2 linked regions of the Diceros bicornis minor genome follow. The protein of the gene in region 2 interacts with the protein of the main gene of each other region in a pairwise test. Links are inferred from orthologs where the notes say so. Each region holds a gene or a part of one and is shown on either strand. Other genes may lie near its edges.

Region 1 (7,324 bases), on a different chromosome or scaffold from region 2:
AGTAAACCAGAGGAAGATTGGAACAAGAGGAGGCAGAACAATGGGGGCTTGGAGTAGGACAGAGCAGGATTGGAATAAAGATAATGGAGAATTTTGTTCTCCACATGTTAAGTTTGAGGTGACTATTAAGCATCCAGGTAAACAGGTCAAATGGACACTTGGATATACAAGTCTGAATTTCAAAGCTAAGGTAAACTTGGTAGTTATGTTATCAAAATGAAGAAAGTATTAATGCCACAGGAAGAAATACAATGCATAGGGAGAGAATGTAGATATGGCAAAGAAGGAGGCCCAGGACCAAACTAAGAGAGCACTATCATTTGAACCTTGAGCAGAAGAAGATCCTAGAAAGAGTCTGAAAAGTAACTCCCGTGAGGTACAAGAAAAACCAGGAGAGTAGTAACGTGGTAGATGAGAGAAAGAGAGAATGGTCAACAGTGTCCACTGTTGTTGAAAGGTTGAATCAAAAAGTAGCCTTTGGATTTTGCAACGTCGAGGTCATTAATTACTTAACAAGAGAATTTCTGTTATTTAAGATCCCATCATTTGCCATGTACAGTTCTAGACAGTGGTGAACAAAACATAAAAGATTGTACTAACTTACATTCTCGTGGGAGAGACAGCCAACAAATATAGTTCAGATAAATAATAAGTGCCTTCAAGAAGAAAAGAAGGTAAGACGATTTGAAGTGCTATAATAAATAGGATGCCCAGGAAAGGTTCTGAGAAGCTACCATCTGAGCTGAGATCTAAATGATAAGAGGCAGTTTCTTAAAATGTCTCTGAGACATATCAGTAGCAATGTGTCAACCTGATTTGGCTTCTGATTCAAATGAACTATAAAATAAATGACATTTATGAGACAGTTGGAAATTTGAACACTAACTCATATATGATGATATTAAAGAATTATTTTTGGGGTGTGATAAATGTACTATAGCTATGTTATTTTTAAGAATCCTTTTAGAAACATACTGAAATATAAAAGACAAAAAATTATGTCTGGAATTTTCTTCAAAATAACATGGGAGGTAGAGGGAAGTGGGTAAGGAGTATAGATAAAACAACATTAACCATGTGTTAATTGTTGAAGGTAGTTGATGGCACATGGAAGTTCATTATACTATTCAGACTACTTTTTTATATATTTAACTTTTTCCACAATAAAAAGTTTTGGGGTTTTTTTGGTGATGAAGATTGGCCCTGAGCTAACACCTGTCGCCAGTCTTCCTTTTTTTGCTTGAGGAATAGTGGCCCTGAGCTAACATCTGTGCCCATCTCCCTCTATTTTTGTATGTGGGACGCCGCCATGGCATGGCTTGATGAGTGGTGTGTAGGTCAGCACCCGATATTCGAACCTGCAAACCCGGGCTGCTGAAGCGGAGTGTATGAACTTAACCACTATGCCACAGGGCCGGCCACCAAAAAAAGTTTCTTAAAAACTAAAACTAAAATCTTCTCTGAGGTTTCTCTGACTTGATCTGTAAGAGTTAGTAATTTCAAGTTTAACAAAATTGTGGAGAGGATTAAATCAGATAAATATTTAAAGCACCAGGCACACAGCAAGTGCTCAATAAACCACAGCTCTTCCTCTCACTCCTTCCTTATCCTTGTGAATTAACTTGGGAGGATGGGAAGCCATCTGAATAAAAAGTTTTGAAACTATGAGAAGTAATACTGATTAACTATTATGTAAGAATACTTACAGAACATTTAAAGGATGTAACAAAGTTTAGGATTCACTTGGCAAACTGATGAAGAAAACTCCTGACATTCTAGCTTTTTCAGACAATTATTTTCAAACTTTAGTTTGCATAGATTTTTTTTTTTTTTTTGTGAGGAGGACCAGCCCTGAGCTAACATCTGCCAATCCTCCTCTTTTTTGCTGAGGAAGACTGGCCCTGGGGTAACATCCATGCCCATCTTCCTCTACTTTATATGGGACGCCGCCACAGTATGGTATAACAAGTGGTGCGTTGTTGAGCGTCCGGGATCCAAACTGGCGAACCCCGGGCCCCGCAGCAGAGCGCTCGCACTTAACCGCTTGCGCCGCTGGGCCGGCCCCCTGCATAGGAGATCTTTAGGATGCTTGTTAAAATTTCAGAGTCCTGGGCTCTGCCCACAAAAGTTCTGATTCAGCAGGTCTAGCGTGGGACCCAGGAATTTGCATTTTTAGGATGCATCCCAAAGAATTCTCTTACAGGTGGTCTTTGAAATACAACATTTGGAAACACTGTTTTTAAGGTCTGGTGACTCTAGACAACATCTGTAGACCAAAAACAGTCCTTAGGGTAGTGAGCGTTTTCTTGCCAGAAACACTGTGGATCTCATGGAAAAGTCAAAGGAGCACAATCTCTTAGGATTCCATTACCATGGAAGCAAAAGAATATAGATCCCTTTAATCTGGAAAACAACCCCAGTTGCCCGTTAATGTCACCAAAGATGAATGTCTGTAATGCCCAACCCATTCGTATTCACAGGAGGAAATTAGGGGCTTAGCACTTGACTCAGACACTGGGGATTGTGGAAGCCCCAAAAGGCTTCCTAAAACGTGATCTTTCCCCCAGGACCCAAGCTATGAGCCTATGAGATAAGAACCTATCACTTCCCACCACCAATACCCCAACACTGATCAGCTCTCTCTTCTATGTTCCTTCAGCCATCCCTGCTTTCAAGAATGGAATACCGTGGAACAAATCAAGAAAAGGTGTTAGTGGTGACTATTTGGGATGGAATCATTTACTTCTCCAGGAATTCTACCTACTCCTTTCAAGATGGTTGGGAGGAGGAGGCATATGCCTGCTTCAGTGTAGAAAAGGGAGCTGGTGGTTCACAGACTGTCTAAATAGCATTTCCATGGCATATGTTGAAGTGTGCCTCGTGTTTTTGATACCAGAATCCTTAAATGGAAGCTCTTCCTTCCTGATACAGAAGATGGCAGAACTTTTTGCACTAACTTGAATAGAAAAAAATTCTACTCCTCCACAGGATATCTATAGATTTATTTGGGGCAGGAAGCCTCAAGTGACCTGTTTTTTAAAAAATTGTAATTCAACCCTGGAAGTAGTGGAGGGGAGCATGGTGGACAATACCTTGAGCTTCCCAGTGGCTCTCATTGTAAAGCGTGTTGGAAACATCTCTCCCAACCATTCACAAAACAAAATTTTATTTGCCAGTGTATCTGATTCTGGTGACGGAAAAGATTGAAAAATTCAAATCTTATGTCACCCACCTCCTCCTGTATCTTTTTAAAATCCTTCAAAAGATTCTCATTGCTGAGAGAGAAAAAACAAAACAAAACGAAAAAATTCCTTCAAGTAGAGAACCCTACTATATAACCATGCTGCCCCACCCCAACCTGGAGCAATCCGTCTGGCCTTCTCTCCTCTCTCCAACAGACCAAGCTCCCGGCTCCTGGAGTTCGCCCCCTGGCTCATCCTCCCCAATACACTATCCCCTCCCGGTAACGCCTTTTCCCTTTTCTCTCCTCTTACTTACACACCTGTTCATCCCTCTGTTGTCCTTCCCTCGGGGAAATCTTTTCTAACTGATCTAGAGCAAAGGCTTTCTTAGGACTACCGACCCATTTTCCTAGCAATTATCATTGTTCCAATTTTACAATTTTTGTCTCTGTCTCTCTCACTAAACTACAAGCTCCTTGAGGGTAGAAACCGTACCTAGCTTTGCTCACCTCAGTGCCCAGCCCTGCTCCCCACACACAGTAAGTGTTCAATAAATTTGTAGGATGACTGAAATCAATGCATTTGTACCTATGCTTTCTCGTATTTTTTCTAGCCCTGTTACTACTAAAAAACCAGCGCTTCTCAGACTCCCAAGAGATCGGATTTGTAGTAAATCCACCCTTTCCTGGGTCCCGGGGCTCCTGTCTCTGGAAGCGGGTTCTCTGCAGAACCCTAGCTCCGTGCAAGACACCCAGGAGCCAAGCGCAGACGACCCAGCTAGCCTCACTTCTCCTTTATCACAAGGCTGGGGAGGAGACAGAAATGGATGCGCTTTAAAGAACGCAAAATTATCCCCCGAAGACATCACACTCCGCCTCCCAGAGGACGGCGGCCACTCGTGCTCCCTTCTCCTCACAGAATGTGGGAGGTTGCGGGATACGCGATGGGGCTCCGGGACGGAGACCGTGGAGGCGGGCGCCGGCCTGCACCGCCCGGAGTCGGGCCGGGGGCGGAGGGCCTCGGAAGGCGGCGATCCGCGCAGGAAAGGCAGGGGTCGGCCCCACGACCCCCAGCCCGGCGCGCCCCCCGCGCCCCCGCGCGAGCGCGAGCCGCCGGCGGAAGTGCTGCGTCGCGCACTTCCGGGTGTTGTCTGCCCGCCGCCGCCGCCGCCGAGCGTCTCCGGTTTCCCGGCCGCCGCCGCCGCCTCGGGTCCTGGAGCCAGGAGCGACGTCATCGCCATGGCCGGCATCAAAGGTGGGCCTGGGGCGCGGGGCGCCGGAGGGCCGCCCGGGGCGCCGCCGGGAGAGAGGGGCGGGGGGCCCGCGCGGAGCTCCACACCCCTCCCCGGCCCGGGCGCGCGCTGTGGGGTCCCTGCGCCGGGGGGCGACCCCGGACCCCGACCCCGCCGCCGCCCTCGCAGCGCTGGAGCGTAGGTGGGCGCGGCGCCCTCCCGGGGAGGACGGCTCCTCCGTGGGCCCCCGCTTTCTGCTGACCTCAGCAGCCTCTCCCCCCGTCGCCCCCCGCGCCAAGAATGAAGTGGTCCGCGGGCTGGTAGGAGTCCCGCAGCGGCTCGGGCCATCGGACTTTTGCAGGAGTTGCATCCGAGAGAGAGCCGGCCGAGTGGGGTTTGGAGGGGCTTGAGGCCGCTAGAGATGCCAGTTAAGGAAAATCAGTGTCATTTCCCACTCAAAGGCACGAGTGCGATCTTCGGGTGCCGAGCCGAACCGAGTCCCCCAGGAACGCCCTGGAAGGGCTTAGGGACGGTTCTTTCCGAGATCTTGGCTATCACATCCACTCTCGGGACCGGTCCTCGAAGCTTGACACGCTCCGAAAACGGATGCGTTTTGATTTGTGCTGTTTCTCGGATGGGGGAGCTCCTATAAGCGACCCCAAAGTGCTCCTTTTCTCTTCCCTGTCCGCAGTTGCACGTTGAGGCTTTTTCACGTTTCAAAGTTTTTATTTAGTTGTGTTTTTCTTTAAGATAAAATAGTGTTAAAACTTAAAAATGACTCGTTTATTCCTGTATTTTCTTTAGAAATAGTGTTGCATTCTTTTCAATGTTTTGTTAGTCTGACTAGAAGCAAATACCGTTAACAGCGCTTTCAACTTGACAAACATCTTGACAACGAATTACATTGATTTCCTGACCTGCGGCTTTGTAGCAGGGCAGGCAAACAGGAAGTGAGAACTTTTATAGCAGTGTTTTTTCTGTGTGTTTTATCTCCTTCAAGGACAGCTTTTGTTGAGCTGCTTTTCCAGAGTCACATTTTTGCTTTAATGTCTGAAGACGTTTCATTTCCGATGTAGAACGTTGTCATTTGAGCAACTGGGATACTTTCCAATCTCCTTTTGAACTATGATACACCTTTTTAAATCCTCGTGTGAAAGGCAGTTGTGGTAGAATGCTGTGGTTTTTTAGAATGTTGCCAGTTTGCCTGTTCTTCCCCATTTCTTCAGTGTCATTAATGCAGGAGTCTCGGTCTTAACTTTGAATTTCCTTCTCCAAATCTACATAAATATTAATCGGGTAAAAGTGTCTCAGATGGAATTGCACTTGCGCTTTTGGTTTCAGAAAGATTCTCTGATTGTTATGATTGTTTACCAGGATATTTTCTTCCTGTTGGCCTATCTATATTAAGGAGAAGTGTTGCCATAACTGGAGTCTATTACTTATTTCTTGAGCTATTTACCTATTACTTTGTTACATATTGGGTTTTTCTGGTAACTCCCAGGTTGGGGAACTGGCCCCTTCTCCTACTCTAATTTCTTTGTTATCACAGAACCAGCACCCTGTCTCTAGAGAGTTTAGATAATTGGGCTGGTCCATCCCTAGCCTCGAGGCTTTGGGAGTAGAAACCAGACTCATCTAAGTTTTGTCTTCCAAATGTTGTGTCACTCAATTACGGTATAAATTCTTGCCTTGTTGATGTGTTATCTAGGACAACCGTTTATACACAAATGATGAAATTTGCATATAAATCAGCCTAGTTGCTGATTTTATAAGACTGACGAAACTTTACAAGAATACTTTTGAGCACTGTATTAAGGCTTTTATCTTTGCCAATATGATTGGGAAGTGAAATGTCACATAAAATTATTTTTTGATACCTGAATCTTATTTCATTTTAGTTCCTTGATTTTTTTTTTTTTTTTTTTTTGCTTTAAGAAACTGTCTTTCATTAACTTTTTAAGAGTATACTCAAAGAATTTAGACTTTCTTCTGTGATGATAGGAACATGAATAATTGTTCTCTGTCACAGGACGTAGTTACCCTCAGAAACCATCCAGTCCTAAGTCTGCTTGCCTCCTAGCCAAGATTGCTGCAAACTGGTATGCTTTTTGAGAATTTTCTGCCCTATTTAAAATTTTTTTCAGTCTCCTCCCTCCTGTCAGAGGGCAGATCTTGCTTATATGCAGTTCTACCTCCCTATTTCTCATTTGTTTCAAAATAGGAAACAAGATCATCAAACTTACAAAATTTTGTGTCACAAGTTACAGGTAACAGTGATCATTTCTGGGAAGGGGAAGTTACTTTTCACTTAATTTTGTTCTGGATACATGAATTGCTATTGAAAAATATATGTATAAATGAGCATAGAGGATTCTTTAAAATCAAAATTTTTTATTTTGCTGAAATTCACACACAATTTTGTCACCAAAAAAATGAATAAATAACCTCTGAATAAGAGCGTAAGGGTCTGTTTATAAAGGACATTAGCTTTAGTGTATGGGCTTTGTGACATCTGTTGTGTCTCTTTAGTGACCTTTGTTTCCTCCAGGATTCTGAGCTATACTTTGGCTTCTGAATAAATAAGGTGTTACTATATACTATTTATAGTGGTGAACTTAGCTGATTGACAACTACAATAGAAAAGTGGAGATGGTTTTTTACTTCTTCAGCATGTCTTAAAACAAGTATCTGTGGTGTTCAGAGAATTATTTGCATTCTAGATCTAGTCCAACTCTCATTTTATATGCCACTCACATAACTTATTTACACAGCTCGTCGATGGATAGTAGGAGCTAGGACCCAGTGTCTCCTGACTTTCAGCTATATGCAGTTTCTCCTCTGCTGCATTAGACACGTCTTTCTCTCCCTTCTCCTCCCCTCCTTTTCTCTCTTTTGTTTCCATTTTGGTTCC
Region 2 (7,163 bases):
TATCAGATGTATGCTTTGCAAATATCTTCTCCCAATTGTTAGGTTGTCTTTTCGTTTTGTTGATGGTTTCCTTTGCTGTGCAGAAGCTTTTTAGTTCGATGTAGTCCCATTTGTTTATTTTTTCTATTGTTTCTCTTGCCCGGTCATCATCTCCTTTTGATGGAAGTCTCTTAGACGGCAAAGACTAACATTTACTCTGCTGTGCCAGACACTTTGATATATAGCATCTCATTTAAGCACAGCTTTCTTACAAAGCATATGTTGTCATTTCCATTACACAGATGAGAAAACTGAGGCTCTGAAAGACAGGCAAAAACTACTTGTCCTAGGTCACACAGCTGGCAAGTGAATACGCTGGGATTCAAACCAGGATCCAAGTTCTAAGCCCATGTTCCTCTTGACTATCTATCTGCTTATCCCTAAGTGGGTCAGAGAGTCAACTCTCTGATATCTATGATTTGTTCTGTGGATTAACCAGAGCTAAGAGGTATTTTAAACCAGTCCCTGCCCAACTCCTTATCATATTCTGCCAGAAGTTGTCAACTCATTTTGAATATTTATTATTCAGGTATTGTCAACTAATATTGCTTTAATATTAGGCCCACACATACAAAATCAGGAAGGGAAATTTTATAGGCCAGAAAACCAGTGAAGTACTACAAACCAATTATATTTGAATTTCTGGATTATTTACTTTTCTGGATTTTCCACAACTCCAACAGTAGGACAAATAAGAGGATAATTGCACAGTTGCCGTTTGGTTCAATTTCCTTGATATCTTTCCATAATGTGTTATACAGCTCTGCACACAGTAGGTGCTTCATAAGTGGAAGTGACAGGCATCCGCTTGGCCCAGTTCCCTTTTTGGAATTCTAGGTAGTCTAAGTTAACCATCTCAGACTTCATGCCCCATTCATTTGACAAACAATACTGGTGCCCACTATGTGGTAGCTGCTATGCTAGGTACTAGGACTGCCAAAATGGAAAGGACATGGTTTTTACCATCAAGGAACTCACAGTTTAGTGGTGAGAAAGCATGTGAAAAAATAAAAACACAATGCAGTAAGTGATATCATTGAGATATGCTCAGGGTGCAGTGAAAGCATAAAGGAAAACCTGTTTGGAGTGAGTTGTGGGGCCGCATCAAGAAAACACATGATTTGATTCTTGAAGAATTTATCAGGTTTCCCAGGTGAGGGCATTCCTGGCAAAGAAATCGGTTTGTGCAAAGACACAGAAGTGTTAGAAGTGTCAACAAATTTAGTATTGTGGTAGCATGGGTTCCTTGTAGGACAGCAGAAGATGAGGTTGGCCAGGCAGATTATAGGTCATGCTAAGGAGCTGATATTTTGTCTCCTAGAGTGCTCGGGGCCAGACAGATAAGGTAAATGAGTGACAAGGACAGTAATGGAGACTAGAGGAAGCAGATGGGGATGATTGTGCAGAACTTGCTCACACTTGTTTCAAGGGGGCAGTTCTAGCTGACTGTAGCCATATGGGAATGTGGATCCAGTGTTGGCAGGTTTTCTTATTTTTTAATAGAGCAGCAGGAAATCTGGATTTTTTTTTTTTTTTTAGTGAGGAAGATTAGCCCTGAGCTAACATCTGTTGCCAATCCTCCTCTTTTTGCTGAGGAAGATTGGCCCTGGGCTAACATCCATGCCCATCTTCCTCTATTTTATATGTGGGATGCCACCACAGCATGGATGGCTTGATAAGCAGTGCATAGGTCCTCGCCTGGAATCTGAACCTGTGAACCCCAGGCTGCTGAAGCAGCACGCACGAACTTAATCATTAGGCCACTGGGCCGGCCCCAGAAAATCTGGATTTTTAATGTGAAACCTCCTAATTTCTAAATGCTGGCAAGTATTTTTTTTAATTCAAAGTTTTAGCCAACATTGCACCAAACACAACACCTCCATTTGCTGAATGTGGCCTGCAGACTGTCATTTTGATATCTGTGCTGTAGGGGATGGAGTACTTATGGAAGCATAGAAGCTAACTGAAGTAACACTTCAAACACTTTTAAAAAATAACTACATACATTCCTCACCGGATTGCCGCATTCCAACATTTCTACTGCATATGAAGTCATATGTTCTTCCTCCAGGGAACCAAAGTGAGGTCCCAGGTCAAATGCAACTTGCAGGGCTTCTGAGGGCAATGGTGCAACTCAGAGTCTCAGTCATCCTGGTGAAAGGCTGGTGAAACATGGTAAGCTGAGACCAGTAAGGCCCCTGAGCACCACCTCCACTACCAGGAGATGGCTGTTACTTGTTCCCTTTTCACTTTAGGGGAAGAAGGGACAGCTTTTTTGAACTGTGTATGTAACCAAGTCAACACAGCCAGTGATAACACAGATAAAACACAATGTTATAGCTGTTCAAGTTCAAATTCGTCATTTTACAGTTGGAGAAACTAAGGTCTCAAAAAGCACAGTGACTTGCTCAGAGTGACCCAGAGAGAGCCAGTCTAGAATTTCTAGACTGAACAAGCAGGATTTGAGATTAGCTGTTAAGCGCCCTTTTTTATTTTCTTATCTGCATGATGATAATATTCTTTGCAAACTTTATATTTCATGGGTAAGGGCCAACGAGGGGACACAAAGACGTTTCTGAAGCACTGAGACCCTTCACAAAGTGTCTGGAAGAAAAGTTGGCTGTGGCTAATATATTTAAGGTTTATGACCTCTCTGCACTCTGGACTGACGGCTCTACCATATGCTTTGTTTTTGTTTTGTTGTTTCTCTTCTTTTGTTTTCTTTTCCATTTCTCCCTATTTTTCTTCTTTCCCACCAGTCTAGGTCTTAGGCCTAGCCATTTCAAGTCAAAAAAACTGCTAATTATTCATAACATGGGAATGAGAGTGCATGGTGACAAAGAAGCATACATACTTCTCCTGCTATGGTCATTCAGTTCTCTATAATCTCAGACTAGTGAGTCTTGTCAATTGTGACTCAATTAATCCTTTCCATCCTTCATTTCAGGGTCTATTGTTCTGACATTTTCCACTTTTTTTGTTGTTTTTTGCTGTGAACCCTTTTCTGATTGGTGCAGCTGTTGAAGATGCTGCAGTTGAAGCAGTGTACATCTGGAACATTTGGCTGACTTGTTGAACTTCCCCCAGGGACTACTCCAGGGAGAGGAGGGGGGTGTGGAGAGGCCAGAACAGTTGCCTGCAAATAGAGATGCCGATATTGTCTGGCCATTCTGTGGACCACCCTTGTAAAAATCCACCTCATTCTGGTCCTCGGTTTCCCCATTTTCTTATTGAAGGCACGTGTTCTCCACTCAAAAATCCTGCCGCGGTGGAAGAAGAGAAACTATACTGGCTGTGGATTCTCTCATACAGCAGTTTCTGCATTGCAAAGAGATCAATACATATTTGTTGAATTAATTAATATATCAAGAAATCCTAGTGGATTGTTTTACCCCGGGTGGGGCAACATCACTTCACTCCCACCTGACACAGGTGGGTTTCTCCGTCACTTAGATTGAGGCCCCAGACTCACTGTAAGAGTGGGGCTGCCTCAGTCCCACCCCATTCTCACTCCCTTTGGCTCTCAGGCTCCTGGGTCTCTCTTTCTTTTGCCACGCCATTGGATTGCAAACACAGCAGGCATGGTTTCATTCCAAACCCAGAGCTGTTTTAATTAGTTTAACGTCTGTTAAATGCTTTGAAGATTGAAAGCAACAGATAAGTACTGGATGATGTTATTAACAACTGCAGTTAATTGCAAACATTTCTATTAATACTAGTTTCTGCCTCCTTTTCTTTGCTCTACTTTCTCTCCAAGGTTCCCAAATTCTTCTCAGCCTCCCTCTCTTCCCTCTCCCCTGTACTGGCGCTACAGGGTTAAATTGGGGCGGAGTCCAGGGATGAACGACAGCGGCAGTCACCAACTGGAACCGGGCAAGCGGGAAGAGCTGGGTGGGGCCGCCAGGCAGAGGCGAACCCACACGCCCCCAGGTCCCGCCCCGCGGCTGGAGGCCCTGGGTGGAACGGCCGGGGGCGGGGCGCCGAGGCTTGGCGGGCCCGGTGGTTGGGTGTCCCGGCAGCCGCTTGAGGGATGGGGCGGGTCGGCCCGGGCCTCCTCCCTCATTCTCTCCGAGGGCCAGCCGCCCGTCTCTCCCGCCCGTCCTCCTCCCTTTCCCACCCCTCGAAGTGGAGCTGCACATGCGGCTGCTCCCTGCTCCGTCCCGCCCAGCGCCCGTAGCGCAGGAACGGGTCCCTGCAGCCCCCAGCCGATGGCAGGACAGTAGCCGCCTGTCAGGGGTCGTGAACCGCTGAGGCAGACGCGGCGGCTCCCGGGCCTCAGAGAGTGGGCGTCTCCGGAGGCCATGGGCTACCCCGAGGTAGAGCGAAGGGAACCTCTGCCCGCGGCAGCGCCGCGGGAGCGGGGGAGCCAGGGCTGCGGCTGTCGCGGGGCCCCTGCCCGGGCGGGCGAAGGGAACAGCTGCCGGCTCTTCCTGGGTTTCTTTGGCCTCTCGCTGGCCCTCCACCTGCTGACGTTGTGCTGCTACCTGGAGTTGCGCTCTGAGTTGCGGCGGGAACGGGGAGCCGAGTCCCGCCTTGGCGGCCCCGGCACCCCTGGCACCTCTGGGACCCTCAGCAGCTCCGGTGGCCTGGACCCTGATGGTTCCATCACCCGCCACTTCGGGCAGCCGTCACCTCAGCAGCAGCCCCTGGAACCGGGAGAAACCACATTCCCCCCAGACTCCCAGGACGGGCACCAGGTGAGTCACCTAGTAGGGGTGGCGGCGGCAGAGGCCCCCTCCCCTTGTGGGCAGGGCGGGGGCCCTCCCCCACAGGGCCCTGGGGAGGACTCTGCCACCTCGAGCTAAGTTGGAGGGTAGGACCTGGGAGGGGGCAGGCGGGCGTGGGAGAGGTTGCCCCGGGGCAGGTTGTCCCCGACCCCTGGCTCGGCTCACCCAGACTCTCTCAGGACCCCAGGACTTGGGAACTCTGGCCTGCGCCCGCCGTCCCCGGCTACAGGCTGCCTCGGGAAAAGTTGGCTGCGCTCCCGGCCGGGCCGGGGGGCGGAGGTGCCGGCGCTGCCCTTCTGGCGGACTAACGGCAGCAACTTGGCCCTTCTGCTCCTGGTGAGATTCTCTGCCCGCGGTGCTTGTTTTTTCGTGCCCAGAGCTGATGCCAGCACTAGCAGGCTCTCCTTTGGTGTTGGAGCTGTAAACAGCTGTAATAAATGCTCCACGCCGGTTGAAACAACTTTTAATCGTATTTTCAGCGCGGATCTTTCTGCGCTGACCAGAACGTGGGCTTGCTCACACTTACCTGCAATTTGAGACTGGTTGTCCTCAGTGTTCTAGTGAGGATCAGCGCCCCTGAGGAATTCTGGTAGAAATATGCCGTCTTGCTAGACAACTTCTGAACAGCAATTTAAAAAAATCTATGGAAATAAAACTCACCCTTTGCATGCCAGTTCTGACTCTTTTTTGGGGGGTGGGTAGGGAGGGGGCGTGTAACGTGCCTTCGCTACTGCTAGCTTGAGACCAGGAATCTACTGATGGAATAATTACTCAAGAGTAATCTCTCAAGAGCAGTTTTTGCAAACTTTATGATGTTTGTGCCCTTGTTAGCAAACTATTAGCTTTGCTGCTTGTTTTCTACTTTTTCTAGCTCCTTATTCAAGTAAATCTAGTGCACTTAAAATAAGTATTCTCTTGACTGCCATATTTTGTCTTATGTGAAACTTGAGAAGCATCTAAGAATCCTTTTGAGGTGGTTAAAGAATAATAGTGAATTTGTTCCTCCTGGCGAAGAGGGCATGTTGTGCAAATAATTTCCTTGAGGTCAGGGACCCAGGCCTTCTATATTTTCTACCACATCCAGAATCATTGTCATACTCTGCAAACATTATTTGTGCTACCTTGACCACCCATTCAAAGCTGCTATCACATTCATGATAATACTGTAATGTTAGGACTCACACATTTTCTACATTGTGCATTGTAAAGTTGCCCTGAGCCTTAAAATGTCTTGCTAGCACACTCCAACTTATATAACAGCCTATCAAAGAAGAGAATCAGTAGACATGCTTCTCATACTTGAAACTTTAAACACTGTAGCTAAATGATAATTAACTAGGATTCTGGCTCCCTTTATCTATCAACCCCCTCCTCCCCCAACAATGCCCAGTAGAAATACTTAGCAGCTGAACATTAATATTCTGTGAAAAGATGAAGGAATTGAGCTTCCTTAGTCAAATGATGGCCAAGGCTTTTTGGCATTCAGAATAGACAGACCCATGTTTATGGACTGAAGATTAGCAGGACAATTGTAGTCTAGGGCTTCTGTGATGGTGTGAGACTCTCACAGGTCTATAATGGCATTTAGTTACCTGTCTTTTGCATGGCACTTCAAATAGTTCTGTCTTGGTTTAAATACAGCTCCCTATTGTCTATCCTTTATTCTTTGTTTTAATTTTTTTGAGCAGTAGACGCAAGCATACTGGCTCTTTACGTTTGTTGACATCAATTAGAGTCAGAAATTTTTAGAATTGTGAGGCCACATGAGTCCGTTTTGTTTGATCCCCTTGCCCTGAGGGGGAAGTGACTTGTCCAAGGTCATGCAACTATTGTCAAAATTAGAATGGAAGTTGATATCTTGACTCCCAGATCAGTGCCCATTCCCCTATAGCATACTACCTCCTGGAGCCTTTTTGGAGGGAATAGGGTGGAGCTCCATAGTAGAATTTTTACAAAGTAGAAGGCTCAGATCTGCATCATTTTCTGCTACTTTACCTACATTTTGGCCAGACTAAGTTTAACCATGTATCCTTATTCTTCCTGAATTTCACTTTCAGGAGAATTGGAGTATGCTTTGAAGAAATTTTAGCCCAGATTCAACTTAAGTTTATCTTGAGGATATTAGTTTTAGCATACCAAAAAAACAAAAAAAAGGAAAAGTTGATCAGCTATTAGAGATAAATTGATACTGCTACACCTTGGGTAAAATTTCTAGTGCCCTGGTGCACCCTCTGCTGGCTTTGCAGGGACATTTAATTTCAGTATATGCTGACAGTCAAGATTCTAAGTTATACCGACAGATTCTGATTCATAAATAAGGAAATAAACAGCCTTGTGGGATTTGGCCACATAGGTCATATTTTTATATTTTAGTTTTTCAACACAAACAGCTGCTGT

Evidence for each region. The genes of interacting proteins can lie anywhere in the genome.
Region 1: the proteins of EDA (region 2) and LEPROTL1 interact in binary tests that used the Homo sapiens proteins (3 or more experiments, as listed by UniProt). The two-hybrid records come from large-scale screens. The link is inferred for Diceros bicornis minor from reciprocal best matches to the Homo sapiens genes EDA and LEPROTL1.

Annotation. Positions count from the first base shown.
Region 1 is NC_080768.1:27,856,417-27,863,740, forward strand, and holds the start of LEPROTL1 (leptin receptor overlapping transcript-like 1), read left to right. Parts: upstream 1-4,324; 5' UTR 4,325-4,420; coding exon 4,421-4,436; intron 4,437-7,324. UniProt on the Homo sapiens protein: Negatively regulates growth hormone (GH) receptor cell surface expression in liver. May play a role in liver resistance to GH during periods of reduced nutrient availability.
Region 2 is NC_080781.1:63,071,556-63,078,718, forward strand, and holds the start of EDA (ectodysplasin-A), read left to right. Parts: upstream 1-4,149; 5' UTR 4,150-4,340; coding exon 4,341-4,736; intron 4,737-4,945; coding exon of another isoform or gene 4,946-5,074; exon of another isoform or gene 5,075-5,455; intron 5,456-7,163. UniProt on the Homo sapiens protein: Cytokine which is involved in epithelial-mesenchymal signaling during morphogenesis of ectodermal organs. Functions as a ligand activating the DEATH-domain containing receptors EDAR and EDA2R. May also play a role in cell adhesion.